2 linked regions of the Tamandua tetradactyla genome follow. The protein of the gene in region 1 binds, or shares a complex with, the protein of each later gene. Links are inferred from orthologs where the notes say so. Each region holds a gene or a part of one and is shown on either strand. Other genes may lie near its edges. The genes, in order: ACTL6B and DPF3.

What was found.
Region 2: ACTL6B (region 1) and DPF3 share a complex: the UniProt entries of both Homo sapiens proteins name them as parts of the BAF complex. The link is inferred for Tamandua tetradactyla from reciprocal best matches to the Homo sapiens genes ACTL6B and DPF3.

The regions. Positions count from the first base shown.
Region 1 is NC_135349.1:8,740,273-8,756,938, reverse strand, and holds the start of ACTL6B (actin-like protein 6B), read left to right. Parts: upstream 1-10,702; coding exon 10,703-10,727; intron 10,728-11,162; coding exon 11,163-11,239; intron 11,240-11,420; coding exon 11,421-11,586; intron 11,587-11,893; coding exon 11,894-11,994; intron 11,995-15,828; coding exon 15,829-15,926; intron 15,927-16,582; coding exon 16,583-16,666. UniProt on the Homo sapiens protein: Involved in transcriptional activation and repression of select genes by chromatin remodeling (alteration of DNA-nucleosome topology).
Region 2 is NC_135338.1:31,485,748-31,501,836, forward strand, and holds the start of DPF3 (zinc finger protein DPF3), read right to left. Parts: upstream 6,945-16,089; 5' UTR 6,914-6,944; coding exon 6,882-6,913; intron 1-6,881. UniProt on the Homo sapiens protein: Belongs to the neuron-specific chromatin remodeling complex (nBAF complex).

The sequences.
Region 1 (16,666 bases):
CTGACGTCAGGCCCCAAGGCCGCGGGGGAAGTGGGGGTGAGGCGGGGTTGACGCGCGGCCCGGAAGGGGTGAGCACCGGGCAGGAGGGGGGAGGGGCGGCCGCGGCAGAACTGGGATCTCTGGCACAGGAGAGATATTGCCCTGGAATCGCAGACTTCCCCAATCTTCCTCCCGCCCCCCGGAAACGGAGCGGGAAGTGCAAGAGGAAGCGCAGGGGAAACCCCTCCCTCGGACAGCAGCCGGGCGGGACACCCGCGGCAGGAACTGGGGTGGGGGGTGGGGTGGGGAGTCCCGTCAAAAAACAGACCTGGCGTCCGCCCCAGCCCGCACAGGCACCGCCCTCCCAGCACCTAATTTTAAAAGGGGCGGTGCCTCTTTAAATTCACCCCCACACGCCGCACACACACCCCCAGCTTCGACGCGGGGTGGGGGGGAGAGACCAGAGGGGGAAGCTGGGCTGTTCGTGGGGTTGCCTAGGCAACCGTCACCCGGACTGAGAGCACCTCATTGGTGAAGTGCCCCCACCCTAGTCCCGTTGCCAAGGCAACCGCATCCACGGCAGAGACCTGTAGGGTGGGTGACCCCACCCCCGGCCCCATCGCCCCCGCCGGGCTCAGCACCCGCCCCTCCCCAGAACCGGACAGGGTGGCTGTTTACAGGATTTGGGAAAAGCCGATTGGGCACTAATAGGTTTGGGACGGCTCACCCCGGATAATCCCCCGGCCGGCGGCGCCCCATTAGCCGTCCGCGGCGGGAGGGGACGAGGGTGGAGGGGAAGGCAGCCCCTAGCCGCCTCTCCCGGCCCGCGCGGAGGCCGCCCGCCCCGCCGCGTCCGCAGACAGCCCGCGGGAGCCGCTCGCCAGTAATTAGGGCTCCGAAGAGAGGTCCCCGGCCCCCAGGCGCAGAGCTGCTCTCTCCCAGGCGCCGGCGGCGGCGAGCCGGCGGCCCCAGGCGGCCGGTCCCCGGCGCCCTCGGCACCCCAGGAGCACAGGCCGCGCGGGGCTTGGCGCTGGGGCCCCGGGGGCCGGGCTGGCTCCTCTCCAGAACCCGGAGCCTGCCTCCCTCCCTCCGTGGACACCTGTATGATCCGGCTCTGCACCCTGCAGATCCAGGATCTCCCCCCACCCCTGCTCCCACTTCCCCCAGGCCCTGGGCGTTCCTCTTCCCCACTGACATTTCCCCTCACTAACTTCAGCTTTCTACGCCAGCGCCCGGGATGCCCCTCCCCCCAAGGGAAAAGAAATGAGGGGCTAGGACCCCACCCCCCACTCCCCATCCAGGGCCGGACACAACCCCCTCCTCCCGCAGCCAGCGGCCCAGAGCGGGCGACAGCGCCAGCGGCCCGGGACAGAGGGAAGCAGGCCCGGAGGAAGCCGCTGGGGGCGGGGGCAACGCGCCCAGCCCTCGGTCCCCATCGCCATCCAGGCTCGCCGTCCATTCCCCCCGGATTCGGGGGATACAGGAACCGAGGCCCCAAGGAGAAACGGGGTGCCGCCGCCTCCGCAGGTCTGGCGGGGCGGCGGGGAGGGGGCAGGCGAGGGTCCCGGGATGTGGCAGCTGGAAGGTGCGGGCCGGGGCCGCGCTGCGAAGCGCAGTGGGCCCGGCCCTCCGGCCCGCACGACCTCCATTTTGCCTAAAAGAAAGCGGGGCGGGGGCGCCGGGGAGCCGGGTTCGGGGCTGGGACGTGGAGCGGGCACGGGGTGCCGCGGTCTCGGAGGGCTTGGGGCTGTGGGGCCAGGAACCGCGGGCAGAGCCCCAATCCGGGACAGGGTGGCGACTAAGGGACGGGTGGCCTCGCCGCCGGGCTGGCCCCTCCGAGGACTCCGGGCTTTTGCAAGGCGACCGGCGGCGGGGCTGCGAGACGGGAGGACACAGGGGTGCCGGCCAGGAACAGGCGGGAGGGTGGCGGCGCTGAGGCAAGGGGGCGGGACGGGGCCTAGAGGAAGCCCCAAATTTAGCCCCCCAACTTCTGAGGGAGCAAGAAGCAGCAAGTGGGGCTGGGATAGGGTCTTGGGGTCCGGCAAAAAGCCGAAGCTGGTGCAGGGAGCGAGTGCATTATCGGGGGGCCAGGGTCCCCCTAGATCCCCTTCCGGGTTTGGGAGCGACGGGGCCAGAGGAAGGGAGGAGAGGTCCGCGGAGTTACGTCCGCTCCCGAGAGGCCAGACAGTGGGGAGGGAAGGAAGAGAAGGACCCTCGAGGGAATTTGGGGCTGGGGGGTACGGACACTCCTTTTGTCAGCGGAGGTACCTGTGGCGGTGGACTCTGCGGAGGGGTAGCTAGAGGAGCGCGAAGGTCCTGTCTTCCTCCGCGGCGGAGGCGGCAGCGGCGGCGGCGGCGGCGGCGGCGGCGGCGACGCGGATGGATTTTCTCAGTCACCCCAGCTCGGCCGCCGGGCGCTGCTCTCCCCAGAGCGGAGGGATCCCGCCCGCCGGTGACGCGGCCGTCGCCGCCGCGCCCAGGGTCCGGCTGGGCGAGACCAACTCTTGATTGCGGGGAGGTCTGGAGAGAAAATACCGCCTCGGTGCGAGGGTTGACTCAGCCACAACAAAGATATCACTGCACACTATTTCAACGCAAAACGGACCAAAATAAATGGTTTGCTTCCCGAAAAAGATGAGGACATTACCCCCTCGGGACTAGCAGAGGTGGTACCGGCAAAGGGGAGGGTGGACCCGCTCGGTAGTCACGTGACAGATCCCCCGCCCCTCCCGGATTGGGCGGCTCCAGGCTGGGAAGGGGAGCTCGACGCCCCAGTTCTCGGTTTGGCCCCGCCCCCGCACTGGTGCGGCCCCGCCCCTCATCAGGGGGGCGGAGTCAGAGGCCTCCGGCCGGGGACAGGGCAGGGCAGGGCAGGGCCCGCCACCAGGCGGCTGACGGTAAGAGCTGCGATTCCCCAAGTCCCTGAGCTGCAGCACAGGGGGACGTCTGAGACTCGAACCGACGGGGCAGTTCCCCAAGCGCTGGGCAGGGGGGTTTTGGAAAGCCCGTTACAGGGCCGCACGACCCTGACATTACAACTCCTCTATTGAGTTCCTTACTTAAGTAAGGACAATCCGGTGAGGTTAAGTATTAGCATTATCCCCATTTTATAGTAATGAAAACAGAGACCGAGGGCTGCTGCGTTGGGATGTGACTCTGCCGTGCAATTATAGCAACAGCAGCCACTTGCTGCCACTCCCCCGTGGACCGTCCTTGTGCTGGGATGAGAATGAAAGGATAGACCTCAGGTTCTGCTCCTGTAAAAGGACGGTGTGCATGGCTACCCGCTCACAAGTCTCTTGGACTGCTACAAAATCCCCGTGAAAATGTTTTGGAAAGTTCAACAAATGACCTTTGCGTCCCGGTGCAATATAGAAAGTAAAACTATCTAAACCAACGCTATTGGTTTAGCCTCTGTTAAGGATCTCACCTATCATTTCTCAAAGCACAATTTGTTTACATAAAAAAGTCACATTCCTTATTAGGCATAAATTCCGTTTACATGCACCTACCAATTCAATGACACAATTAGCAGTCCGTGATAGATGTCAATAGGCTATGAGATTTGGAAGCGATCTCGGAGATAATGTATTTCAATTTCTTCAGTTTACAAATGGGCAAAATGACTTCCCTAAAGTCGCTCAGAAAACTAGCCGCCTAGGACTAGAAATCAATGTTGCTAATCTCTAGGGCATCTGACACTGCTTCCCCTCATGTTGGCTTCTGTGCCAACATGCTTCCCTGTTTTTACTCATTCAGCAAATAGTTATCGAGCGCCAGCTAGGTATCAGGGTGGGGTGTGTGGTAGGCCCAGAGGGTCCAACCGTGTACAGCATATGCACCATCTGCTGCCTTCAGGGAGCTTACAATCCAGAAAGGAGACAGATGGTAGATAATCCTTGAAGTAACAATTAGTGCTAGTTGCCTGGAAGTGCCATTTGCTGAGAATAGGGCCCTTGAGAGGGGGCACATTTAGGCAGGAAGATCAAGAGTTTTAGGTTGGGACATGTTAGGTTTGAGGTGCCTGTGAGACACGCAAGATGTGTTCACTTGGCGGATTTAAGCAGGTCTGGGACTCCGCAGGGAAGTCTGGGTTGGAATAGCGCCTTGGGAGTGAGTGGCATATTAGAGCAGGTGAAGTCATAAAGAGGTTCAGGAAAGAGACAAGATGGCCTACGACCAAGCCCTGAGAAACTCCCACATTTAGAGGTCAGGCAGCAGAGAACGAGCTGCCAAAGGAGAAGCCAGAGAGCTAAGAAGAAAATCAAGAGAATGTGAAGTTCTGGACACCAGAAGAAAAACATGTTCCAAAAAGGCAATGGTAAACTCTTGGGTGCTGCAGAGGGATGAAGCAAGACTGGACTGAAAAGTGTGTGGGGGAGATTGAATGACATAGAGACCACTGGTGGGTGCCTTTGTCCAGAGCATTTTTAGTGGCTGGTAGGGTGAGGCTGGCATTGCTCTCAGTGGGCTGAGGGTAAGTGAGAAAAAGAGGCAAGGGAGACAGCCAAAGTGCCCAAGCCATTGGACATCTTGGCTTAGAGGGGGTGTAGGAAAATGGCACAATGGGAAAAGAATGCCAAGTCAAGGTATTTGTTTTTAATGGGAGCTCCTAGAGCTTGTTTGGATGCCAATGGGAAGGAGAAGGAGAGATATGCGGGGTACATAGAAGTAAGCCAGTAGATGAACTGGCTCTGATGGGTCATGGGACACTTGCTTCTTCTTACTGTTCTTGTTCATTCTCCTTGACGTTCTCGTCCTCAGGGCCCCCTGTAAACATTGGTGTTGCCCATGACCTCAACTTCATCCTCTTTCTCTTCTCACTGTCTGTGTAATTCATTGGTGATTTCATCCACTAGTGTGACTTTACCCCCTGATTGCTCAAAACTCTCAGACATCCATCTCTAGCCCAAATGTCCCTGCCGGAGTGCAGTCTTGGTGTGTGTCCAATGCAGAGCGGATATCTCCAGCCGAATGTTCGTGAATAGTGGTGCGCTGGAGTCAGCTTGTGCCGGCTCATACACTGTACGCTGCTCTTCCCAACTCCTTGTTCAGTAAGGTCATGTTGATAGTAAGAAACTTGAAAGCAGCCCTGGGGGGAGTATTTTCAGAATGGAGATCGGCAAATCCCTTAGATCTTTCCTCTCGCCCACTGCCCCAGAGTTGGTTGTTAAAATATTTACTACATACCAGTATTCACAGACATTCCACACCCAACATAGTCAAAACTAATTATCTTCCACACCGCCCCACCCTGCCCCACCCTACTCCTTCCTGAATCTCTTGGCCCAATTAAGAGTACCACCACCCACCCAGGAGCTTCCTACTCCCTCATTTCCCATGTACAAAGGATGATCAACTAATTAGATATGGTCTAAGCTTCTGAAACAAAGAGGCCCCCAAAGTACAATGGCCTAAGCCACAAGCCCAAAGTGGCCATTCCACTGTGGGGGCATCTCTGCCATCCTCAGCAAGTAGCTCCCATCTCTGGATCCAAGGTAACCCAGGCAGCTCCCACTGCCATACCTGAATTGCATTCACTGGGAAGGGGGAGGACGGAGAGTACAAGTCCCTTCCTGTTTAAAGGCATCACAAATTTCTGCTCAGAAGTTATCCAGATGTTTAAATCCAACCCTTCTGCTGCTTGCCAATTGCTGTTTTCTTAGTTTTTGCCTATCTCCTGGCCTCCAGGACAGTCTGTCCCTAATCGATCTTCCAAATAGCTGCCAGAGATATCTTTCTAAAATGCAAATTGGAACATATAACTCTCCTATTTAAAATCAAGCAGTGGTTCCCCATCAATTCCACAAAGAGGGCCAAACTTCTTTGCATGACACACAGGCCAGGTCTTGTCCCCTCTACTCAGAATGTCTTCCACCCCCCGCTGCCTTGTCAGCTCGGACAATTCAGGTCATTTTCTCAGGCTCAATCTAAATATTGCCTCTCCTTGAAGCATTCCAGGACCATGCTGTTGTCTGTGCCCCGCTGCAATGCTGGCTCCATTCCTGTTGCAGCCTTTACTGGACTCTGTTTATTTTTGGGCATTTGCCACCTGCACTGGGCCAGCGGCTCTCAGTGAAGCCAAGGCACACTTTTGATCTGACACAGTTCTGGATGAGAGCTCAGCAAACCATGAACAGACCCCCGGAAGATGCCAAAACATTTACAGGATATGGGGTCTGAGAGGCCTGCTCCTACCGCCTTGGACCTTCTTACCAGGTGTTCAGGTTTGTCCACCCAGAATGGGAGCTTGAAATATGAGAACCATCAGATCTGTTTATGAAATTAATCATTTAGGCATCTACCTTCCTGGACAGACATTAAACTCAATGGAAGTTGTATTATGCTTTATTCCCAGTGCCTACCAGACACCTAGGGAACATTTATTGAATGAATGAAAGCATAACACCTGCCCAGGATTAACATTTTTCATATGCCTTGGTTTAGATTTTAACTCTGTCACTTACCAATTGAGTGACCTTGGGCCAGTCATTTAACCTCCATGCCTGTGCTGGTTTGAAAGGATGTATGTCCCCTAGAAAAGTCATGTTTTAATCAAAATCCCATTTTGTAAAGGCAGAATAATCTCTATTCAATACTGTTCAAAGTATGTTTGAAGCTGTAATCAGATCATCTCCCTGGAAGATGTGATTTAATCAAGAGTGGTTGTTAAGCTGGATTAGGTGACGACATGTCTCCACCCATCTGAGTGGGTCTTGATTAGTTTCTGGAGACCTATAAAAGAAGAAACACTTTGGAGAATGAAAGAGATTCGGAGAGAGCAGAGAATGCTGCAGCACCATGAAGCAGAGTCCACCAGCCAGCAACCTTTGGAGATGAAGAAGGAAAACGCCTCCCGAGGAGCTTCATGAAACAGGAAGCCTGGAGAGAAAGCTAGCAGATGACGCCTTGTTCACCGTGTGCCCTTCCAGCCAAGAGAGAAACCCTGACTGTGTTCACCATGAACCTTCTCACTTAAGAGAGAGAGAGACCCTGAACTTCACTGGCCTTATTGAACCAAGGTATCTTTCCCTGGATGCCTTAGATTGGGCATTTCTATAGACTTGCTTTAACTGGGACATTTTCTCAGCCTTAGAACAGTAAACTAGCAACTGATTAAATTCCCCTTTTTAAAAGCCATTCCATTTCTGGTATATTGCATTCCGGCAGCTAGCAGACTAGAATAATGCCTCTGTTTCCCCATCTGCAAACTGGGGATAAATTAAATGACTTAATATTGGTAAGGCATTTATAGCAGTACCTGGCATAAAGTAGATGCTTTGTGTCTGCTAAATAAAAATAGTTTCAGAAAAGAAGAAGAAAATAGAAAAAGCAAAAAAAAAAATTTTTTTTAAATACTTACAGGCATGAAAGAGCTGGTCTCTGATGACTTGTCTAGTCTCATCCCCCAGTGGCACTGGCCTCTGCCAACAGCTCATGTCTAATCCTCCTTCTAGATCGAACTCCTAACTATTCCCACATGTACCAAAATGTTTTATGATTCAGTTCAAACTTCTAGAAACCTTCCTGGGCTCTCAAAGACAGGTAGCTCTTCCATCTTCTGAGTCTTCAATGCACCCTACTTCCATTTAGATCTAAGTTCCAGCTCAAAAATTCCTTGACAGCAGAAATACCTTAGACACCTTGGTAATCCCATGCCTAGCATAGTGCCTGGCACACAGTAAGCATTTAAAAAAAAGTCCCTTGAGTCAGTGAGTGGACAAATGAAATATATTAACTCCCTTCACTGTAACCATGCCCATAATACAATGGACTCATGTCAGATCCCATGACCAGTGAAAGTTGAACACAGTTGCTTAGGAAGGAATCCAAGTCCAGTCCTGTAGATAGCAGATTGTAGCTTTTCCACCAGGCTTGAGAGGAAACTTCCCTCCTCATTACCAGATAAACTACAGAATTTGGACTTGTTTTTAATAATATTAAAGCCTCAAAAACTTCCCAAGTATGTTCTGAAGGACCAATGACTACTGAGTAGTCCTGGGGCCCGGTTCTTAGCCAGGCACCTGATTCTGGTCTCAGGTTAAGTCCTCACCACCAGCCATTCTATAGATAAGGACAGTGAAGCTTGGAGAGGAAGACGGAGCTGTTAATGAAACAAGGCCCTCTCTCAATGGCTGACAAGAGAGCTGGGCTCTTTCAGGAAGAAATTGATCCATTCAACAATTCAAACAAAACCCCAAGATCCCATGTCTGGGGCCTCTCTCTCTCTCAGCCAACATGGCAAGCAAACTTACCACCCTCCCTCTCTCTACATGGGACATGACTCCCTGGGTTGTGGACCTCCCTGGCAACGTGGGACAGAAATCCCAGAATGAGCTGAGACTCAGCATCAAGGGATGGAGAAAACCTTCTCCACCAAAAGAGGGAAGAGAGAAATGAGACAAAATGAAGTGTCAGTAGCTGAGAAATTTCAAACAGAGTCGAGAGGCTATCCTGGAGGTTATTCTTATGCCTTTATAGATATCCCCTTCTTAGTTTAAGGTGTATTAAAGAGGCTAGAGGGAAGTGCCTGAAATTGTAGAGCTGAGTTCCAGTAGCCATGTTTCTTGAAGATGAATGTATAGTGATATGGCTTTTGCAATGTGACTGTGTGATTGTGAAAACCTTGTGTCCGATGCTCCTTTTATCTACAATATTGACAGATGAGTAAAAAATATGGATTAAAAATAAATAAATAATGGGGGAACAAATGTCAAAAATAAATTGAGTAAATTGAAATACTAGTGAACAATGAAAGGGGCTGATAAGGGGTATAGAAAAAAATAGGGGGAACAAAGGTTAAAATCTATTGAGTAGATGGAGATACTAGTGGTCGGTGAGAGGAAGGGGTAAAGGGTATGGTATGTGTGAGTGTTTTCTTTTTTCTTTTTATTTCTTTTTCTGGAGTGATGCAAATGTTCTAAAAAATGATTGTGGTGATGAATATGCAACTATGTGATGATATTGTGAGCCATTGATTGTACACCATACATGGAATGTTTGTATGCTGTTTTGGTTTGATAATACAAAATAAATTTTTAAAAAATTAAAATATGTAATACTGAAAAAAAAACCTTAAAAAAAAAAAAGATCCCATGTAATGGGGAGCCAACCCATATTCAACCCTATAACCTTCCCAGTGACTCCCTAGGCATCTGCTCACTAAGGTTTCTCCAACGGGGGCAGGTTTTGACAGTGAGGTGGCTGCCCCCAAGGAGTAGTGGGAATTGACCAGGTGAATTTACCCAGGAAGTGACGATTACATCATTAAATATCATAAAACCAGATTGTGAATGGAATAATTTTTCCCTGCAGTGTTCCTTTAATCCTCACCTCGACACTTTGAAAGATGAAAAAATACAGACTCCGAGAGGTTAAGGCACTCATCCAACTCACCTAGGTCTCAATTCATAGAGAGGCCAATGACTGATCTATGGTCACTTGGGATAGTCTCAATGCCCCAGCTTCGGGGTCTACTCTCTCCCCTACAGCTCATCCTCCCACTGCGCCCAGATCCGCCAGACTGGGGAGCCAGTCCTGGACCCAGGACCAACCCCAGGTGCCTCAGATGCCACTGTGGTCAGTGGGAAATCAATGAGACAGCTCAACCATCTGCCCTTTGGCTAGGGAAGGGTGAAACTTCTTCCAGGATAGGCATCTGGTGTGCAGAGACCCTTCAGGGACGCTGTGGCTGTACTCACACAGTACCCTCTTCCTCTGCCATTTCTGGTCTTAAAGACACCCCCCCCCCCACCCCCACCCCTGCCACCAGCCTCCAAACAAGCAGGTAAGAGTGTCCCCGATACATGCTTACATACACATGCACATATGTACACATGAAAAGAGAGATATGCATGCGCGTGCACAAGCACACATAAACAAGTATATACGGGTGCACGCCTACACATGCATGCTTACACAAGAGGCTCTTGGCTAACCTAGGCTGCAAGAGCCGCTCCTTCACCGTCCCTTTCAAAACCGCTGTGGAGGTGTCCAGCCAGGAGCGGATACAAAACCTGCTTCATAAATGCCTCCTGAGCAATAAAAGGGGCTGAAGAGAGGCGGGTAGGGAAAGGAAGCTGAGCGCCTCTGTGTGAGCGTGTGTACACACGTGTGTATCTGAGGTCCAGGCACTAGGGGGCGCGGGAGGAAAAGAGGGGCCATCAAAATGACCAGGGTGGAAAGAAAGATGAGAAGATGGAGACACACCCCCTCCGGGTCCTCTCTTTGCCTCTCGCCTCTCCTCCCTCTCCGGGTGATTGCTCTCGACCCTGGCTTTGCTGAACCACGTTCTAGAGCCTGAGGATGGACGACTCTGCGGGACTACGGCGCCCTCTTCCCGGACCCCATTTAAATAGAAAGGGAGCAGGGACCCCATCAGACATGCGTCGGAGTCCTGCTCTCCGGACGGAGGGGAGCCCATTTCCTTCTACTCCTCCTCTCGGTCTGCCCATCCCGCACGGCCGTTCTCTCCGTCCCGGTCATCTCCTCGCCCTCTCGTCCCCGCCCACTCTGGGGCTTCTGCCCCTTTAAAGCAGCGGCCCCCGGGCCGGGTTATTGTCTCGCCTCGCAGCCAATCGGCAGCGCCGTTGGGGGCGGGGGATCCGGCCTCCCGATTGGCCGCCGCGCGCCCCGCCCCGCCCGGGATCCCGGGAGCTGTCCGGCCGCCTCGGTGCTGATCCCGCCGCCGCCCACGGGCCGCCGGCAGCGCTGAGAGGGCACTATGAGCGGGGGCGTCTACGGCGGAGGTGAGCGAGCCGCAGGCTTCGGGCCGGAGCCGGAGCCCTGGGACCCCGAACCCGTGCGACCCAAGCTCCGGGCACCCCGAGGCCTGTCAACTCGGCGCCCCAGCCGGCAACAGCCCGGGGCTTGGGTCCCGCGCCACCCCTACCTTCTGTCCTCCCCGGGAAGCCCCGCGTGCACCGGGTCCAACCCCTCCGGCCATTCAACCCACCGCCGCCGGGACCCCGGCCCCCCTCCTTCTTTGCTGAGCAAGGCCACTCGGCAGGACGGACTCTGTCCGGCTTGACCCCCACTGCCAGGACCCCAGACTCCAGGCCAAGCCCCCACCTGTCCCAGGCGGCGAGACTAGAGACTGTGGCTCTGCCCTGCCCTCCCCTTGGAGCTGTCCAGGGGGAGAGAGTTTGAGGGAGGACCCCTGACACATGTGTCTCCCCGCACAGATGAGGTGGGGGCGCTGGTCTTTGACATTGGCTCCTTCTCAGTCCGCGCTGGGTACGCTGGGGAGGACTGCCCCAAGGTGAGCCTTCCAGCCCCTTCCCCAAATCCCCGGGGCTCCGGACTCCCCTTCCAGACTTTCCGGTAACTTGGGGTGCTCACAGCCCAGCCTCTGCTGACCCGGAGTGTGGGAGTCAACCCCGGGGCGAGCTGCACGCGGGCAGGAGGGTGATCCCTCTCCCTGCCCACCCTCCCCCCTTCAGGCTGACTTCCCCACCACGGTGGGGCTGCTGGCCGCGGAGGAGGGGGGCGGGCTGGAGCTGGAGGGGGAGAAAGAGAAGAAAGGAAAGATCTTCCACATCGACACCAACGCCCTGCACGTGCCCCGGGATGGAGCCGAGGTCATGTCACCTCTCAAGAACGGCATGAGTAAGGGGCCCCCAGCCACCACCTCCTGATACAGGCGGGAGACCTCTCCCCACAACCTGGGACATAGCACCTCACACCCACGGAGTCCTCCTTACAACTGCCCAGCCCTGGGGAGCCCCTTGCTGCTTCCCACAGCTGCCTGCTTCCCAACCCAGGGGCCCACCAGATTCTTGGGAGAGGGGTTTTCTGCTAGACCTGCCTCAATTCCCCTTTCTCTGAACTTAGCCTCTTTCCTTTCTACTTCTTTCCTGTCCCGGGACCCCTGCCTGCCCAACCACATATTTCCACGTTGGTCTTCTGGGCCCAGTTGAGGACTGGGAGTGCTTCCGTGCCATCCTGGATCACACCTACAGCAAACATGTCAAGTCTGAACCAAACCTGCACCCAGTGCTCATGTCCGAGGCCCCGGTAAGTGCCTCGGCCCAGCCCCTAGTCCAGCCCTGGGGCCCAGGCACTTCGTTTCCACCGTGCACCTCTCACCTCTTGCCCCTACCATTGGTCATACCACATCCTCCCTTGTCAGATTTTCCTTCCAACTTCAGAGCTCTTCAACCACTTCCCTTCCTTCCTGGCTTAGAATCCACCCCTCACTCTCTCTTCCTGCTCTATCCACCTGCCCTTCCCCCAATCCATGTTAAACATGCCCTTTTATACCCCTTCCCCTCAAAATTCCTTTTTTTAGACCTTTTAACTTAAAGTTTTTTGACATTTTATATACACATAAAGAATCAATTTGCTTTATAGAGTATAAGAAAAGAAGGGCAGTTCCTACCCCCTTCTTCCAACTCCTCGTTTCCAAAGACAACTGCTTCTCATCTCTTTCAGCCAATTTTTTGTGTTTTTTTTGGGGGGGGGAGTGTTTCCTTCCAGATCTCTAAATATCATGCTTAAATTGCTGCTTGTGGACTTCCCACTAGATAAAATGAACATTTAGCTCAATTTCCACCTCACACTGCACACATTTCTTGTTCCCCACCCCTAAGTATAGTTGCATTTTAATTTGTTTTCTTCAAAGATCAGTCCTCAGTGTTTACTCCCTTGTTGCTGTGTATTCTGATCAAGGCTGAGCCAGGCAACAAACTATGATTACATTTCCTTTCCTATACAACCTTTTGTTCTCCCTAAAACAGACATTTGCTTGCTTTTTTATTTGCTTAGTTTTCTATCTACCTATCAGTAATGTGACCTTCAATTATCTACCAGTTACCTACATCTTCTCTCAAAACATTAATTCCATTAGGTATTCTACCAATTTCATCTTGAAGAAATCACTCCAGGAGCCCACTGATATTCTCCACTCTGGACTACCTGCCCTCTATACCTGGCATCTTCCTTCACCATCATCTTAGGGAATCCTTTTGCTTCTCTCCTGTGTTAGCATTTCTGTTTCTGTATCTCATGAATCCTTTTGATTTACCCCCTCATGTTCAGTTGCTCAAGTCCCAGAGGCCCCCCACTTCACTGATTCCCACACCTGCCTAGCTCCCAACCCAGGGCCCCAGGAACTTCAGTAACTTCCATAGAAAGGTCATGGGAAGTAAATTTTTTTTTGAGATCTTGCATATCTGACCTTGGATTGATAGCTTGGCTAGGTATAAAACTTCAGATTGGAAATTATTTTTCATCAGAATCTTGAAGGCACTTCTTCATTGCCACCTAGCTTTTATTGTTGTTATGAGAAGACTGAAGCCATTTGATTTCTGATGTCTTGTTTTCATTTCTGAAAGTTGGTAGAATCTTTACTTTGTCCTCAGTGTTCTGTAATTTCACAATGGTGTGTCTTGATATTGGTCTATTTTCGTCCATTGCTCTAGGCACTCAGTATGTCCTTCAATCTTGAAACCCATGTCTTTCAGTGCAGTGAGAATATTTTCAATTATTTATTTAATGATTTCTCTCAATTTCCTTCATTCTCTCTTTTGGGAAGTTCTGTTATTTGGATTCTACACCACCCGAATTGGTTCTCTAGTTTTCTTATCTTTTCTTTCTCTTTTCCATTTCTATCTTTTTGCTCTAATTTCTAGGGAATCCCCCCTCGATTTCAATTTTTCCTCTGAGTTTTTCATTTCTGCTCTTGTAGTTTTAGTTTCCAAGGACTCTTTTTTATTCCCTGAATGTTGCTTTTGATTCTTGTTTTTCATAGGTGCACCATCATCTGTTATCTTCCTACAGATATTATTGCTAGTTGGTTTGTATTTTTGGTGGGGTGGGGAAGCCGTTTTTGTCTCACTGTATAATCTCTGTTTCTTCCTTTGTTTCTGTACCCATCTCCCTTTTTTGGTGTCTGTCTCACTTTAGAGGCATATTCAGATTTCTGGAAATCCTTGTTATTTGCTTGTATTTAGGAGTGGGAGACAGAATGGCTGATTAGAAGCTGTGTAGCTGGGAGGTAGGGAGTGTTGACTGTGATTTTTGCTACAAGGCGAACTGACAGGGACATTTTTTGGGCAGCTTCTGATATCAGCATCTTTACGTCTTTGTAATGAAGAAGACTTCCAGACTGAAGAGAGCCCTGGCCACCCACTTTCTAGGAGCCAAGTGAGGGAAAAGGGCTGGGTTCTCAGCATTCAGTGTGCATGGCGTCACTTAATCTTCTTCTTTAAAGTATAGTGCCCCTACTTCCAACTGTGTCAAGTGTTCCCACAGCTCAGAGACCCTTTGCTTTATTCTCTCCATAGAATAAATCTCAGGTTTCTGCTGGGATCCAGGTAGGGCAAAAACCCAGGGATATGAACTTGTAGAGAGTTTAGGGACCTATTACTTGAATAACTTCAGACAATCTTATATTAGCTTTCCCCTCACTTACACTTCCAGACAAATCTGAAACTACCAATTTATGTGCCCTTTGAGGATTCTTCAGTTTAAAACAGAACAGTACCTGGCTTTTCTCCCTACCAGCTTAGGAGTCAGCTTTCTTGAGTCCAAGTCCATTACCACTCACATGTCTGCTCTCCTACTTTCTAAAGTGTGTTGCTATTTTCTGCTTTCTTGTTATTCCCAACCTTGAGAGTTTACGTCTTTTTTATGTCTAATATCAAATGAGCCATTGTAAAGTGACTAGTTAAAGTGGCATTTAATACATTCACAATGTTTTAGAGCCATTACCTCTATCAGCTGTGAAACATTTTCATCACCTTCGACAGAAAACCCCATACTCATTAAAAAGTCACTGCCCCTCCCCCCCCACCCCACCAAGCTTCTGGTAACTACCAATCTGTATTTTGTCTCTGTTGGATTTACCTATTCCAGATATTTCATAGCATTGGAAACACACAATATGTGGCATTTTGTGTCTAGCTTCTTTCATTTAGCAGAATATTTTCAAAGTTCTTTCACATTGTAGTATGTATTAGTACTTCATTCTCTTTTATGGCTGCATAATATCCTGTTATATGGATATGCCACCTTTTGCTTATCCATTAATCCACTGATGGACATTTGGGTCGTTGCTACCGTTTAGTTCTTGTGAATAATGTTGCTGTGAACATTTGTGAACAAGTATCTGTTTTCAGTTTTGGGGGTATATATCTAAGAGAGAAGTTGCAGGTCTTATGATAAATCTATGTTTACTTTTCAAGAAGCCACCAGACTGTTTTCTACAGTGGCTAACCCATGTTACATTCTCACCAGCAACTTACACCAGCTCCCATTTCTCCACATCCTCACCAACACTTGTTTGTTCATTTGTTTAATTGCCATTCTTAAGGGTTTGAAGTGGCATCTTGTTGTGGTTTTGATTTGCATTTCCCCGATGGCTAATGATGTGGATCACCTTTTCAGGTGCTTGGCCATTTGTGGGATTGTCTTTTAAAATTGGTCCTTTACTATAATTTTGCTGGGATCTTGGGAGGAAAAAAAAAATAGATGCTTTTATTCAATCCACCATATTTTACCCAGAAATCCTCTTCCCTTCCTTCTTGCCTCTGAGGTAATTAGAATGGGGAACAGGACTGAGGAGTGAAAGGAACCTAAAGTATGTATTGTATAATAAAAAACAACTGGGACAGGAGCCAAGAGCCCATGACTCAAGATTCATTTCTGCTGAGAGCTTTCTGTGCAATCTTGGGAAAATTACCTCCCTTCTCTGAGCCTTGTTTTCCTTAGTCAGGTTTGGACTGAGACCTTTAACTCACATTCTAAAGACCTGTGTGGGGTCAAATTGTGTGTGTGTATGTGTGTGTGTGTGTGTGTGTGCTGGGTCTGTACCTCTCTGAATCCTTCCCTCCTGCACTTTCTCCCCAGTGGAACACACGGGCCAAGCGGGAGAAGCTGACAGAGCTGATGTTCGAACAGTATAACATTCCTGCCTTCTTCTTATGCAAGACGGCTGTGCTCACCGCGTATCCTCTGGGTTGAGCTGCTCTGCCTGGGTGGAGGAGGGCCAGGGCAAGGGCACATGGTCCTCTGAGCTGGGGCTGGGTCTCATCTTGTGAAGGTCAGTGACCTGGGTGGGCAGGCCCCTCCCCTAACCTCAGCAGTGCAGAAAGCTCCTGGGCTAAGTGCCTTGGATCTTGGGGTGACCAGATCAGAGCCCCTTTCTCATTTGTCGGACCAGTTTGAGCCAGGAGATGGTTCTAGGAAGAGAGAGCGTTGGGCCAAGCAAGAAGCACGGTCTGAGGCTGGCGAGAGGGAGGGAGGGAGAGGTGTATGAAACTAAAGAGGTCCCTTCCCAAACTGTCCATTGGCCAACATTGAATTTTTAATGATGCGCTTTGCAGTGAACCATGTACTCAGCACGGGAGTGACTGGGAGCTCGTAGGACTTAGGCCTCAAAATAAAGAGAAGCTAGTTGCTTAGGGGACAGGAAGAGAGGAGAGGCTGTCACTCAGACAGGGAGGAAGTGACTGGGGTCTCAGGAGATGGGTCATCAATGTGAGATCTGAAGTCTGGGCTTGGAGCCTGGACTCCAGGGAAGCAGGGGGGGAGCAGGCCAGCCCTGCGTCCCAGCCCCGTCACTAGCTGCCGCTGTCTCTTTGACCTATGTGACCAATGCCAGCTTCGCAAATGGACGCTCTACGGGCCTCGTGCTGGACAGTGGGGCCACCCACACCACAGCCATCCCAGTGCATGATGGCTACGT
Region 2 (16,089 bases), on another chromosome or scaffold:
GGGGGGGCCATGAATTCCAGTCTAGACACTGCTACTATCCCCTGGTTGGGGGGTGGCCCCTGAAGGTTTGCTGGGCCCCTCCACCTCCTCACCAGTAGCACAGGGAATACCTGAGGAAGCTCAAAGAGCAATCAGTACAGGTCCACCTACTGCAGCTCCCTGGATAGCCAGGTATCTGCAGCTGCCCAAATGGAAGTGAAATAAACACTCTTTATTTCCAAGTTCATTGGGATTGGGGACCATGGTGGAGGGGGAGGGTGGTCCAGGGAAATTATGGACAAATGAAATCCAGGGGGAAAAAAAATCCTTTTGTTTAGTTCCCCTTTTTCCTCCACACTTAAAAGAAGAAAAAGACAGATGTTCTCAGTCATTCCAGTCTTTTCAAAACGAAAACTTTCTCTGACTGCCTGTAAGCAGCCAAATCGTCCAACATGTCTTCCACTCCTCTTGCCTCTCGCATTCATCCTCTGGACGGGATACTAATGAGAAGAAAAACACAGAGAAAAGCCCAAATTCTAAGTGACCCACCAGCCTGAGGCCCCTGAGAAGGACTAGGCAGTTCCACCCAGGTTAGAACCTCAACTGGGAGCATCAGGAAGCAAGAATAGAGCAGAGGAGATGGAACTTCAGAAAAGCACCCCTGTCTTAAGCATCCCCTGTAGAGTCACACTTGGAAAACAAAGAAGAATCCCAACTCCGGCCCCTAACTGTCCCTCTGTTTTGATCTACCACAGTAAGAACTGTAAGTTTTTTACTCGAAAGGGATTTTGGCAATCAAGGTGTGTCATTCTCCTCTTAAAGTCAATGTTGCTCAGGGGCGTTACGTGTCCAAGATCACAGAGCTACTTGATGACGTCTGGGACCAGAACTCAAAGCTCCTATTCCAGATCTTCTTCTCCTCCCTTATTCTGAAGTCACCAAAGTTTCAAAAAGTCCCCAAAGCCACTGGTGAGAAATGAGCCTAGAAAGGGGACAGAATTTGGGATACGATCCCAGTGATGGTAGTTTAAAGTTTGGGAATGGGAAAGACCTTTGCTGTAGAGCTTCCAATCGCAGTTAATACGAACAGCAGATTTTCAAGGTGAATAAAAACAAAAAACCCCACTCATTTCACAGCAACCTGAGATGACCACAGTCCCTAGGTTCAGGGAGGGAGGAGAAGGTGCAAAAAGGGGATTAGACATGTGTCATCATTGTTCCCCGGGCTCAGAACCCAGAAAGCTGGGTGGCGGAGGGCTCAATGAGAGCTATTTGAACCCCATTATTAGGGGCTCTGAGCCTAATCCCCTGGCCCCTCCCTACTTCCAAACATAGCCCCTAAAGCCTGCCCCCCTCAAGGCTTCTCTCTCTTCTTTGGCCACCTACCCCCAACTACTCCTCACAAACAGACGATCTAGAAATTCTCAACCAAGTCTGTTCCTATTTTCCCACACTCCCTCCAACACCTCTTAACCACTGCTTTTAAAACTCTAATGCAAATCACAGGCTTCAAAACCCTTCCTTCAGTGACAGTTTTACGATGCTAGCTCCATTCATCCATATGGTTTGACAGACTGTGAAACACTAGTAACCGGACCAATAAGAAAAACAAATTACAAAAACACCACCACACCTCATCTCTCCCGTCACTCACACCACCAAAGAAAACTTTGAAACTTGCAATGGATCATAATATCAATATCTCCCGTTTTTAAACAATAATCTTTTCCAAATTCCAGGCCACACAATGGTTTTATCCATCTACCTCCTACCACCCCCTCCCCACACCCACCCCCAGGCCACTCTTTATCTTTCCTAGTTAAATATCTACATATTTAAAGACTATTTAAAGCTAGAGTCATGCTTATTTAGGTCCCTGCTAGAAAACCACAGCTGGGCAAAAAATATTTCAGTGGTTGTGGGATTTTTTTTTTCTTGGCCAGAAGCTTACCACGTTTGGCTACATTTCTGTTTTCTAGTGACTTTCAAAATACTCAAAAACCACAAAAGTTACTTTGCAAGGGTTGAGATAATAAACAGGCCTGGGTCCTGGTACCTTTTTATGACCCAACCCCATCACCACTACAATCAGCATGGCAGCCTTTAAAAACCAAAACAGCCTCAGTTTCCACTCTTTTTCTAGGGCATGCTCAAAACAAAGGATGCTGACCATGGCTTTTTTTTTTTTTTTTTTTTTTTTTTGCGTGGATCTAAGCAGATGTCTATAACTTTAGACATTATAGTCTTTCTCACATGTATGCAAATTCCAGCTACCTGTGTGATTCCAAAATGATGAGAAAATGAGAAATTTCCAATTAAGTTGCCTCTGAATTCCAGCCCACCTCATGGGCCTGAGCAGCTCCCATTTGGCTGGAAAGCTCTGGATGTCTCCCAGGTGGTCTGCAGGCTGGGCTTTTTTTGAAGGTTTGCCCCATGACAATGCCTCAACTTGGGGTCTGGCAGGAATTAATATCCTTTATGGGTATCTCATCAAAACCAGACATTCTTCCCACTGAAAAATAATGTGTACTAATGAAGTTTGGAGAATTTAGGGCTTTTTTCCAGTGGCAACCAGAAACAGATGGAGAAGGTGGTTCTGAAGCATCTGTTGGCTTAAAATGTCTAAGGGTCCTTTTTCATAAGGAGCCAAAAGTAATGTCCATAAAAGGTTGCAAGTTCACAAAGTTCCAATCTCAATATTCCCCCCACTTAGTACCTCCCACATGCCTCTGCCTCCACCCCAACAGAAAGAGCTAAGTAGAGATTAGAACTCGGAATGTGCCCCCTACCCCTTCCTCTCTGATATCTAAACTAAGTGCTACAGCAAGAGTGACGTTTGGCTTCTAAGTGGTGACAAGCAACTTTCAATGCACAGAACCACTTTACATGAGAACAGAGAAAGTGTAAAGAGGTGAAGATTTGAGGTCCATCTCTACACAAGGACCAACCCTGTTTGACTTTGGCTAAGTAAGTATCAGAGTTGTGTGCTAAATAACAGAACACATACCTCCAAGCGAGGGGACACACTTAGGAAAGTTTCAATACAATTATGTATATGTATGTTCATGGTTATAAACAGGACAAAATAGTTTACTGGCCTCATTCTTTATAGTTACTTGAGGTAAAGCCCTGCTGTTTTATAGAATTATGAAATAATAATGAGTTATTCTTTTCTATGCAGACAGTTATACTAATGGGTACATATGTGCATAATCAAGTCTGGCAGAAGGTGGCAGACATTCCCAGTTAAGTACATATAAACCAGGCTTTTGATAACTTAATAAAAGAGTAAGTTGTTTAAAGTGCTAATAGCAGATTGGGGGGGGGGGTGATTTACCTGAACTAGATAGGAATTAAGATTAGAATTTAGATTAAAAGCATGAAGGTTCCTAGGTGCGCAGACCCCAGCCAGAATACAATCCACACAGCCCTTTATCAAATCCCTGCTTATGATGCCTACATATATTCACTTTACTACCTGGCCTTCATCTTGCCTGCATACGTAAGAAATGAGGGTGATTCTCACACATCTAGGCTCAGACAATGTAGCTGCTAAATTAAATAATGTGTAACATACATTTACACATCATACATGCCCATATAAATGCTTTTAAATTCTATTTGTCCAGATGTGGCTGCTTGGTTGTGGAGCCACCTGCCGCAGCCAACCCCTTTGTGATCTGATCAGTCCAACCGGCTCCTGTTTCTGCCTCTAACACCCTGTTGGGCAGTAATAAGAGTTAAAGCAACAACAGAGAGAGAAGCCAGGCTGTCAGCTTCTGAGAGGAAGGGGGTGAGGAGGGTACACCAAGGGGCAATAAGAAAGGAAGTAGAGGGGAGATCAAAGACCAGCAGGAAGAAAAGCCAGGCTGCTAAGGAAGATGTGGTGTCAGGAACTGGGACCCTAAGGAAGACCCCAAAGCAATGAGACTGAAATTGTGCCATCCAGTTACCCAGGCTATTGAATTATTGAATGTCCCACATGGATAAAGCTAATGTAGTGAAAAATGGCCCATGCTTAGGGTAAGCAGAGCCCTACAGAGGGGTTGCACGAGACCTGAGCCTGCTTCTTCGCAGCACAGTTACCTCCTACCTCGCTATTCCCCAGTACCCGAAACCTTTGTGTGACCAGTTTCTATAGGGGGCATCGATGGTGGTGGCTTTTTTTCTTTTAAGAAAAGGGAGAAAAGACTCAGAATGCACACAGAGAAAATGCTAATGTCGTTCAGCTCCGTTTCATTGTCAGGAGGGACACAGGAGGATAAAAACAGAGCTCTCCAAACCGTTCTCCCGGCTTCCCCCTCCTCCCAGCACCGCCATCCGTCCCCTTCCCTGGATGTGTCTCCGCGCTTTGTTCTAATTTATCCCATGCATAATTTATTCATGTGTGTATTGTTTCCTGATCGGCAACTTTTAAAAGACAAATGAAATATATAAAATGTGTTATTAAACAAGTCGTTTTAAAAAATAAAGGCAGATGGTGTCGGTCTCCCCATAACACCGTGCGTGCTCCAGCGTGAGTAGTTTAAAAATAGTCGAGGGCGCGGGGGTATTGTTTACACCCCCTCACCCCCAGGGAAAGGGGTTGGGATGCAAAAAGGGGCGGTTAACTATAAATGACCACTCAACTTTCACCTGGAAAAAGCAGGCAAGGTGTTGTGTGTAAGTCAGTGGGGGGGGGGGGGGGGAAGCAGAATTACAAGTACATGACACTGCAACTGTTTCTAATTATATAAAGTGCAAGCATAATTCAGAACAAATTCCACTAAGCAGTCGGGATTTAGCCTCCTTTTCCCGCCTCTCTGTCTCTTCCCCTACCCTTAACTCCACCCCTACACAGACACCCTACCCAAACCAAACATGCATCCTCCTATGGTTAAAAAAAAAAATACTGGAGCGAGCAAGGGAACCCTGGAGCCGGAAGACGTTGCACCAGCGCATAAACTGGCTCCTGGAAAACGAGGGTACAGCTTTCCCTATAGAAAACAAACCCGGCGCACATGCGAAATAGATTTCTCTAACTTGAGTTTATCAGATGGCATCAGCCCAGATACGCGATTTCGGCTGAAAATGGGGAAACTGCAAATCGGCTCTGGATTCGATAGAAACTCACAGCATCGGCTGTGCAGCAGCGCGAGCGACTGCAAACGAGGATGCGGAGAAGTTACGCCCATTTATTCTGCCATAAAACATTTTCTTTCTTGGGTGAAACGCCGTGGCGTTCAAGTGTTGTGTATCCGAGCTTCCCACGGAGAGCTGAAAGCCGGGGACTCCTCTCGGATCAGCCTTAGCTTCCAATGCCCCTCCCCCGCCTCCCCAACCCGACCTTTAATTATATATATGTTTAAAACTCCGAAAACTGGGACATTCCTATCCTTTTCCCTTATTGCTGGTGAGAAGTTAACCAGTGCAAATACGGCCGATTCTCCCAGCGCGTTCCTTCGCGTTCGAGAGCTGTCTACTGCCTCCGGGTGCGAACCTGGTTTTAAACTCCCGGAGGAGCCCGGGAGGCGGACGCGGACGCGCGCGGGTGAAAGAACCAGGATCTGTTTAGGCAACGCACAAGGGACACGAAACTCCCCTCCGCCCGGACATCCCCTCCCCTAGCCCGAGGCTTCCATCCCAGCAGGGAAGTCCTGGTGGAATGGGCACCGATCCCGAGCCCACGTCGCGCCGCGAATCCGGAGGGAGCCTCCCCCCCCCCCCTCTGCCAACAGCACAGCCAACATCATCCCCCTTAGAGCGATGCTAGTTTTCTGAGCCCACCCCCGGCTCCGCGATAGCAAGCGGACTTGGCGGCTTAACAGTTCCACCGACTGAAAGGAAGGAAGGAAGCCAGGATGAAAAGAAGGAGGAAGGCAGGCAGGCAGGAATTGGCTGTCGAACCCGGGGACTGGCCCCCGCATGTCCTTGCTCAGCCCGCCCCCCCACCCCCACCCCGCCGCCCCCCGCTTCGTCCCGGATCTGGGCGTCCGCTCAAAGTCTCCCGGCGGCGGCCAGAGGCACCTGCCCCTTGCTCTGGCCGGGAGCAGACACTGCCGCTCAGGCCGGGGGCCCCAAGCCGCCTCTCCGCACGCCTCGGCATTTCACCCAGGGGAAGCAAGAACACCATTCATAAGACCTGCAGCTTCGCTGCCTCCAAATCAACCCCAAGTTAACCCGAGTCATTAATTTACTACGGCCAGTTCGCCCGCAAACACACACGCATACATGCACACCGGCTACCGCCCGGAGCGCCGTCATGCTCCGAGGGCTGCCCCGGCAGGAAAGCCCGGGGCAGCCACCTGGGCCCGAGGGCTCCCGGGACCCGCTGCTCCCCCCCCGCGGTCCTTCCAACTCCGGAAGGTTTGCCCAAACTCCCCGCGAGCGATCGGAAGGCGAAGAGCGCCCTGCAAACTCCTGAGCCACCGCGATCCGCTTGCCGCGCGGACCAAGCCACCCGGCGGAGACTGCGGGCTCTGAGGCGCGGGACTCAGCCGAATATACCCAGGCGGCCCCTGCCCGGCACTAGCCCCCAGCTCGACCGCTCCCCGAGCGGCGCTCGCCACCCGGCGAGCCCAGGGGCTCCGGAGACCGCGCTGTCCCCAAGCTGCCCGCAATCCCCCTAGCTGTGGAGCGCTCGGGCGCCAGGCTACCCTGCCGATAACCCTTCTCTCTCTCCGTCCACCAATTAAGCAGAACCCAAATGTAACAATTTTCTTCTTGTTAATTGCATCTCCTGACATTTCTGTGCGTTGGGGGAAAAGAAAAAGATGAAGTAGGAGCTGAAAGAAAAGAGAGAAGCCCCGCGGTGACTGGAGGCGCCTGCAAGCGCAGTGCTTTGGCAGCGCTCAGCACGGAGAAGGCGCCTTTTTTTCATATTGAAACCACGCGGAATATGTACATTTTTTAGCCTTACTTACGCTTTCAGGGGGTTGTGAATGACAGTCGCCATTTTGCTACAATGTAACAGAATATTGTCTGTCTCAGAGTTCTAAAGGTTCGCTCAGGGGAAGCGGCGAGCCAATCAGAACACGGGATACCGGCCCGCCGGCCAATCGGCGCGGCTGGTCGCCAGGTGGGCAGGGCCTGCGCGATGGTAGTTATTAGGGGAGCTGTCAAAGCCCAGAGGTCACTCCCTTTTGTAGAGCCCAAGAGCGAGCAGGTCTTAAAGGGGCAGTACCGCGCGAGCAGCTCCTTTTCGGTTTGGGGAAATTGGAGACGCACGGGACGAGTATTCTAGTTTGGTCTGAGACCCTACTTTTCTAAATAGCTGCAAAATTTGCGATCTTGAACAGAAATATTTAAGTATCGCCAGCAAACCACTGAACCCCATTCATTATCTTTCGGCTTTGCTAATAGTGTTTTTACTCTCCCAAAGAGCAAGTCCTCTTGTTCCCGTGCAAAAGTTGAAAGCTTGCTGTTTCGTCAAACAATGTACTAAACGTAGCCGTTTGCTAATGCTCTGGGTCCTACGACTTTTTAATATTCTTACTCCCGAAGTGTTTTCTTTATCTCGGCCACCTTCCTCTCCCCTGTAACTGCCGCCGCACTGCCGCCGCTGTTCCTGACGACTGCAGGACAGCAACTCCCCTCCCCCTGAATGTCTCAATGTCAAGTTCGCTCTCTACAGCAGCCCGGGCTTTCGTTACGTAATGCAGGGTGGTCACACTGAGCGATTCCCCAATACCACCCCTTCTGTTCACCCCACACTCCCGAAACTTCGGAAATGATCGCGGATCCCGCCAACTGGAGAGCTAAGCTCTCTGACCTTTAGGCTTAGGGATAAGGGAGGTTTAGGGAAACCAGTGGAAGCGCCTTCTGTTACTAGGAAAGCGAATAACTTGAAGACAGGAGTTATGGAGCCTAGAATGGGTGTTGCTAGAGTCCCTTTCGGGGAGTGGCACACGCGATTCTGGCGTCATCTTTCACTATTTAGGTAGAAGCTGAAAAGAATTTGCTAATGAATAATCCGGTGTGACCCGAGGCGTTCCGAGAGACCTTCTGCTTCAAGTTAGTGTGAATTCCCTCACTGGCGAACCCCTGACAAAACTGGGAGACTTCTGCGAAATCAGGCTTCCACTGGGCAGCCGGGAAGCTCCGGGTGGATGAAATCGTACTGTCGAGAATAGGGCAGGCAGGGCCCTCGTTAGCATAGAGAAGTCTGGCTGTTTAATCAGGTCAAATAGCTAAGATAGTGGGGGAGGGGTGAGAAGGGGAGAATGGAGATGCCAGATTGCCCTCTCAAAGCTTTGCCCTCTCACTTCCTTTCTCAGCGCTCCTCTCAAGGCAATGAATTTTTTTTAAAAGAAAAAAAAAGTTCCAAAACTTCAGAGTTCAACTCCCTACACCACTAGAGTTACAGATAAACAGAACATGGCTGAATCAGTATGTTTGTAATAGACTTGAAATTTTTAACTCCTCTCTTTCTGATTAGTTAATAGCAGAGCCAGGTTCTATGGATTGCCTTTGTGACTTTTTTGACAGCACCTTGCCAGAGATGGCAGTTTGAAAAACGTTGTCCCCTTTTCAATAATTGAAGTTTGAAAACACCCTTCCTCATTAATTCAAACATATTAAGGGCTTAGTTCCAAAGCTTATCTTTGCCTGAGATGGACCCTGATATCACTGAGAAGCAACTATTATGTTCAGATGAAGAAGTTCAGGCTTCTCAGATGAGGTTGAAGTATTAGTCATAATTCCCACGAGTTCGAATTGAAGGACAACATATTTTAATATATGCAGCTTTATAAAAGAAGTAAGAAATATAGTATTGCACCTGCCCTGAACAATGCTTACAATTTAATGGGAGAAGAGAAGAAAAACAAAGTATTACATCTAAAAGAAAAAATATATACTCAAAGCATATACATATAGTTTACTGTGTTAAGGCCTTGGCATAATTCCTAATATCTGGCACATATGAAAGTGGCAGCCCATGATTTTTCAAACTTTTTCTTTGCCTTCATTTTGAGAGAGTTTTCATCTGGAATTGAAACATCTAAGTTACATTTTATAATGTGAAAATCGAAAAAATAATGAAATAAAACTATGTTTTTTTAAGTAGGTTAATCTTGGGTTTTTTTTGTAACCCAGTAGAAAGCATTTTAATTCAGACACTGCAGGTACAACTTCTAAATAAACAGAATTGTGAATTTGCCTTTTGTCAGTTCTCAGCTATATAAGTTATTATTATTTTCAACTTTATCTTCTTTATCATAGATCACAATGTTTCTACAGTAAAGCAGGTCCCATTCTGCCAATTTGCAATGGTATGGCATGAAGCCAAATGCTCCAAATATGTCTTAAATATACCAACCCACCAAAAAGACACATGTTTTTCACCAGAATGCTTAAAAGCAAGAGGGCTTAGAATGGACATGCCTAAAGGTGATAGGAGCCTAGTAGAATTTCAGAGAATGTTTAGTTTTGTGAGGCAGTGTTGTATATGTTAACGGAGTGTGGGCTCTGAAATCTGTTTTCCTGAGTCCTTCACTTTCCAGCTGCATTATCTTGGGCCAGTTTACTTAGCTACTCTATGGTGTCAGTGTCCTCATCCGAAAAGTGGCAATAATAATAATAGAATTTTCATACGGCTCTTGCCAGGATTGAATAATATATGTCAAGTGTCTGGCACATAGCAAGATCTCGAAAAATGGTGACCATTATTTTTACAGATACTTAATTCTTTCCTGATGGTATAAGGTACATAGTTAAACTTTATTTAACTTATTGCTCTGAGAAAAATGGCAACTGAATAACTTTGAGGAAAAAATAATAAACAGGAATTTTTCGATCAGGGGTCATTTCACTACTTAAACCATGTCCTCTTGCTCAGTAGACTTTCAAGACACTTTTAAAATCACATTTCTAAAGCTCTATAGATATTCATATACTTGAATATACTCCACCCAGCCCCATTTCTTCCATCTTTATATAGCTGCCTAGGCAGCCTAATTTGCTAGGCAGAGTGGGTCCAAAATAACCTCTTCCCCATCCCACCTGAGAGTCTAGAGCTGCACTGTCCAATATGGTAGCCAGAGACTACCTGTGGCTATTGAGCACTTGAAATGTGGCAAGTACAAATTGAGATGTCATAAGTATAAAATACACACTGGATTTCATAAGGCTTTGTATGATAAAAAGGAATGTCACATATCTCATAAATCATTTTTTATACTGATTACATGTGGAAATGATATTTTGGATATATTAGGTAAATAAATACATTATTGAAGCTAATATTCCCTATTTCTTTTTACTTCTTTTAATGTGACTACTAGAAAATTTAAAATTGCACGTGTGGCTCCCATTGTATTTCTATGGACAGTGCTGCTCAAGGCTGTGTGTTACCAGGGAAGTAAGCGTGGGGCCTATCTCAGTCATATGCATTCATTCTGCATAATCTTTTCAAATCTAACCTTATCAATTAGCAGACTCTCTGGTCCAGCTCAGGTACATGTTCAATGCCACCCATCCAAAGGAACATTTGGGGTACAACAAGGACCCATGCACCCAAACCACAAGGGGCACCCATACCTGTTCACTCCTAAAAAGTCTGAAGTTTGTCTCAGCAATGAGGAGATGTCCGTCTAGAAGTAGGGAAGAATGGCACTTTTGTAGCAGGTGCCAAACTTTCCAGCTGACTTTTTAAAGGCACATCCATATACGAGAGGGAAGTAAAGAAAGGAGATGCAAACTTCAAGAACAGCCAGAGTTCATTTAAAAGAGGAAGCATACCACAGAAGCCGTCCAAAATAAATGCAGTCCCTGGTGGGCTCTGGGGCTTGAAGGAGTCTCGGGTCTTGCGGGCATTAGAACAAGAGCAATCCCTCCATTTATCTGCAGACTAACCAGCCATGCCCAGGGCAGCTGGTTGACCTGGGCTGGTTCCCTGAGATCCAGAACCAGCTTTGGTACATTCTAGGCACTGAGCTGAAGAGGAATTCTTTTGAAGAATAGAGGGCATAAAAACTGCAGCCTATAAAAAAGCTAACCATACCACATGACCTGCAATACCTCTCCTAAGTATACTCAAAATAATTGAAAGCAGGGAATCACATGGATACGTGTAAACCAATATTCATGACAGCATTATTTACAATAGCAGAAAGGTGGAAACAACCCAAGTGTTCACCATCCGATGCATGGATAAACTGCAGCAGAATATATATATGAATATTATTCAGCCATAAAAAGGAAAGAAGCGCTGATACATGCTATAATATGGATGAACCTTGAACACATTATGCCAAGTGAAAAAAGCCAGACACAAAAGGATAACTTATATGGCTTCATTTATACAGAATAGCAAATTCATAGATACAGAAAGTGGATCAGAGGTTATCAGGGGCTTGGGTGAGAGGGGAATGGGGAATTATTGCCTAATAGGTAAAGAGTTCCTATTTGGAGTGATGAAAAATTTTGGTAATGGATGATGGTGATGGTAGCACAATGTAAATACAATTAATGCCATTGAATTATACACTTAAAATGGTTAAAATGGCAATTTATATATCATATATGCATATATAACCACAATAACTTTCTTTAAGTTAAAAAAAGAAAAACATAACCTGGCTTTCTCTTTTCTTAGGGAAAATGGTAGGGAAGGATTCTTACTCCCTTTACAATTTCTCAAAGCGTAGAAAAGAAAAAGCATATCAAGCTCTGGATTTGGGTGATGCTCCTAGGGCCAGGCCTCGAAAATCACATATTTCTGAGTAGAGTCATAAAAAGGAATCAATGCTTGCTGCTTCCCACTAACTTAGCTCATTCAGTCACTCATCCATTGAGGAATTTCTATGAGGGAGACATTGTGCTAGGCACAGGTGGCAAAATAAAAACAAACCAGACATGAAAACAACCCTCAAAAAGATCTCATCCTGCATCTGGAGGGAGAATAACGATGGCAGGCCCGCCCCATGAGCCAGCAGAGCAATTACTTAATGTGACTTAAAAGGGAAGAGCAGCCTGCTCAGCCAGTCCCCTTTTCCTGGCAGGGATCATGGGATCCCAATGGATGCGTCCTTGGGTGTTTATTAAATGACTACTATGGACACCATCAAAGGTTCATTCCTTTGGGTTCCCAAGGTTTCAAGACATTGAGATTTTCATAAACTAGTATAAAGGATATATTAGGGAATATACTAGGGTATACGAGTCAAAGGTCCTCAGTAAGGCTTTATGGAGAAGGTCATGTTTAATTTGGGCCAAAGTTGGGTAGATTTTAAAAATGAGTCAAGGGCTTAAGGGCCTTTAGACCTCCCACCCATCTCCGCCAACAGCTAATTCATATAGAAAATATTTGGAGAATCTCTACTCTGTGCCACCATGCCACCCTCACTCCTGGACCTTGGGGGTACAGAGAGACCTAAGATAGACCAACCTATAAAGGTTATAAAAGCTCTTATTCAAAAAGTCAGGGAGGAGGGAGCAGGCAGTTGCATCCCAAAGCCATGGGTGGAGGAGCACAGGGCACTGTGGTGTGGACCAGGGGCACCTAAACTGACCAGGTTATCTTTTCAGAAGAAGCGACTTCTGAGCTCAATCCTGAATGGTTCATAGGAGGAAAAGATGTCCCTGCAGAGGTGGTAGAATATATAAAGATTTTGGGGGTGTGAGAAAGGGCAGCACAACTTCAGGGGATCTCCTTGGTAGAGGGGGACTGGTGAGACAGAAAAAGCTGGAGAGGCAAGGACGGGGTGAGAATACTTTAAAATGTGGTGTTTTATCTGGAAGGCAATAAGGCAACAGTGACAGATTTTAAGCTAGCAGTGAAAATGAAGAGATGATCCTTTTTAGAAAGCTCATTTTGGCAGTGATGTGACAGTGGAGTGGAGGGAGGCTAGAGGACCCCACTAGGAGGTTGTGGGTGTCAAGGCTGAGCACCAGAGGTGAAGATCAAAGGCAGATGCAGTGAATTCTAAAGAGGAAGCACCACCAGGACTTGCTGTGGATTTAAGGGAGACCAAAGGGCCCTGGATGATGCCAGGTCTCTGGCCCCTGGTTGTGGATATGAGTCAGTTTTACTTGACTGGAGAAACTTGAAGTTAAAACCAAGACCAGTGCCTGATGGTCAGAGGCCTGTAAAGCGCTGGGCCTTTCTGTTGTGCAGGATGGGCTTGTTTTAAGACCTTAATCCCCCAGCCCACATCTTCCTTCCCCCTAAAGCTGATATAAATCTGTTCCCCTGGGGGATCAGTCACCTAGGCTGGGTCCATCACCTCTGGCTGTGGACTCCACCTTCTCTATGGACTCCACCTTCAAGGGAAAGCCTCTTCCAAATCCCCTCCTACCTACTAATCCCCACCCTTTTTCTACTCCTGACTGACCTGAATCAGCTTAAAGGAATTTCCCTCCAGGTAGTTGCATCTTAAGAGGAGATTCTAGGACACTCCAAAACCTTTGCAAGGAAGGGATCACAAGACACACAGCACACACAGTGCATACACACACACAGCCGCACACATACCGTGGCTTGCTTAGAATCTCAGGCACCAAGAAAGGCAGCGTGTGGGATATTTTTAAACAGGAGCTTTCTCCACTCAAATCACACAGAGTAATCACAGTCAACCCTGAAGACTGGCCCCAGGCCCTTTCTTCCCTTGCTAATACTGGATGACCACAAGCAGGCCCCAATTCTTTCTCCTGATAGAACCACAGGTTGAAGGGTTCTATCTGGTGGTGATGGGGTTTTTTGTTTGTTTGTTTTAAGATAACTTGGGCTCCACCCCGGCCCGACCTCCTCCACCTGCCAAGACTGCACTTTCCAAAGCCCTCCCTCAGTCCATCCACACCAACACAGAATCCAAAGTCCTCTTGCAACCTTGATCAAAGCAGCTGGCAAGGTCCCCTGCATAGGGGGACAGAAGGGAGAGCAGGGGAAACAAACAAAACCTTCTGCCATTGCCACCGTGGGGATTGACTGGAACCATGTTTGGACCAAGACATAGAAGAAGAAAATTCCCTTGAGTCTGTACACACATGTGCAGAAATAAGTATTCATCCCTCTGGGTGATTTCCTAGGTAAAGAAACTTCTTATCATCTCCAAAAGTGGCTACCCCAAGGGCTCCCAAAGAGGGCTTTCTGTGGAATATTGCTTTAAGCATGGTTGCATTCCAAGGCACCTGTTTCTCTCACTCACATCATTTACACGACCTCAGGCTCCTACTCTGGCATTAGGCAGGAATCCTCCAGGAGGAGTCTAAAAGCCAAGCATAGGAGCATGTATTCAGTCTGGTGGTTCTGCAGATATTTATGCCACCACATAAAAATAGGTGCCCACAGCAGGAGACGTGGACAGAAGCCATAGGACCTAAAATGTCCTACACTCTGGCGAAGAGGCGGCAGAGGCCTGCTGAGTTATAGCAGGTGTTTTCTGTTCCCTGACAGCTTCAGGCAATGACCTCTGGCCTGCATAGCTGCAAAAGGACCTCAACTCCATGTTTATTCTACATAAGAGGGAAAAAAGAAGGAGGTGAGAAAATGTTCTAAACTCCACAGAGGAACCAGTGTATTTTAAATGCGTCTAAGCCAATGGGGGAAGCTGGGCTAAGGACAGCTCCATTGCAAGATTGAATTCTGGAGGAGAGGTACAGGCCTGGAGAGTCTAGAAACCCAAAGAATATAACAGACAGAGGGATGGAGCAGAGGATGTCGGTGGGGTGGGACTGCTGGGAAAAGAGACAAAGTGGAAGCAATAGGTTGTGTTAAAGAGGAAAAACAAAAATCCAATGAAATGGGACTGTTAAAGCACTAGGCCGGAAATTAAGTTTATTTTGGTACCTGGAGCCCCAAAGTCACCAGTTGTTCTCTGTTCTCACCAATCAAAGGATGACACAACTTACTTTATTCCTATACAAGTGACAAAAATTAATGGAGTTGCCACATAGTAATAATTGGAACTCGTTACAATTCTGAAAATCAGCGCTATTTTCTAGATCCAGGTGGGCTTACTTACAGCAACTCTGAAAGCCATCCTTTTTTATGAAGCTGATTTTAAATATTTTAATCTTCCCCAATTAGAACCTTGAACTTAAACCTAGTACAATTTAAATGGATCTCAAGCTGGTCACTTGCAACTTTCAGCTTTCACAGTTGTATCCATAGCTCCATCAAAATACCTATATTTTGGTTAGCTCCATTTTATATTTCCTTAATCCATCAGATACCTAAGATATACCTTTATATCTCCAGAGTCTGGCAAGGCCTAGCAGACGGTTAATAATTGGTCACTGAAAGAATAAATAAAAGCAGAAATAACTAAATCTAGGGAGAAAATCCCACCCTACTAAAACAAATCTCTACTCATAATAAATGACAAAGGCCACTTTCTAGCCGGACATTTCTAAGGTTACCTTCCCCTTCAGAACTGCAATAGACATGTAGAAAGTTGTAGACCATTCAGAAAGGATTCAATTTTGAACTTTGTGATTCGATATTTGCAGTAGCCTCTTTCTCCACATCAAGTAACACAGCAAGAAATCCCTTGCCCTGAAGAGCTTGAAATACTGAAGCTAGAGCTACAACCAAACAAGTCAGCTCATTAACAGTGACTGTGAAGGTCTTTAGGCTTCTAGGAAGTCTTTCTATAAAGGCCAATTTAAATATTTTTATCTTGTATATTAGCCCCTCTGGGTAGGTCTCCTGCTACCAGGGCTGAACCTAGAATTTGTTTTACTTTGAACTTCGGATTCTTTTTAATTATGATATATAGGGGGTGGAGGTGTCACTTAATCAGCATTAAGTCCCATTTTCATTGTTATAGTGCTTTGGCTAATTTTTTTTATCATGAATTATGAAATTTGAATAAACTTTCATGTGGTAAAACAGGAACATGATGAAGGACGCGATTAAAAGTTTTGATGACAATACTATAGAGTATGAAAGTCTAAGTAAGTAGGGCTGTACAGAAGAAATAAAAATTAGACCAACTTAGAACTAAATCCTGGCTCCACTCCTTACAAGGTACATAACTTCGGTCAGGTGACTTAACCCTGAACCTCAGTTTCTTCATCTGTAAAATGGAGAGCTTGAGACCAGGTTTTAAGGATTGTCATGAGGATTACATGTGATAGCATCAGTGGCACAAAGGAGAGTGACTAAGTCATTGTAAGCACTTAAGAAAT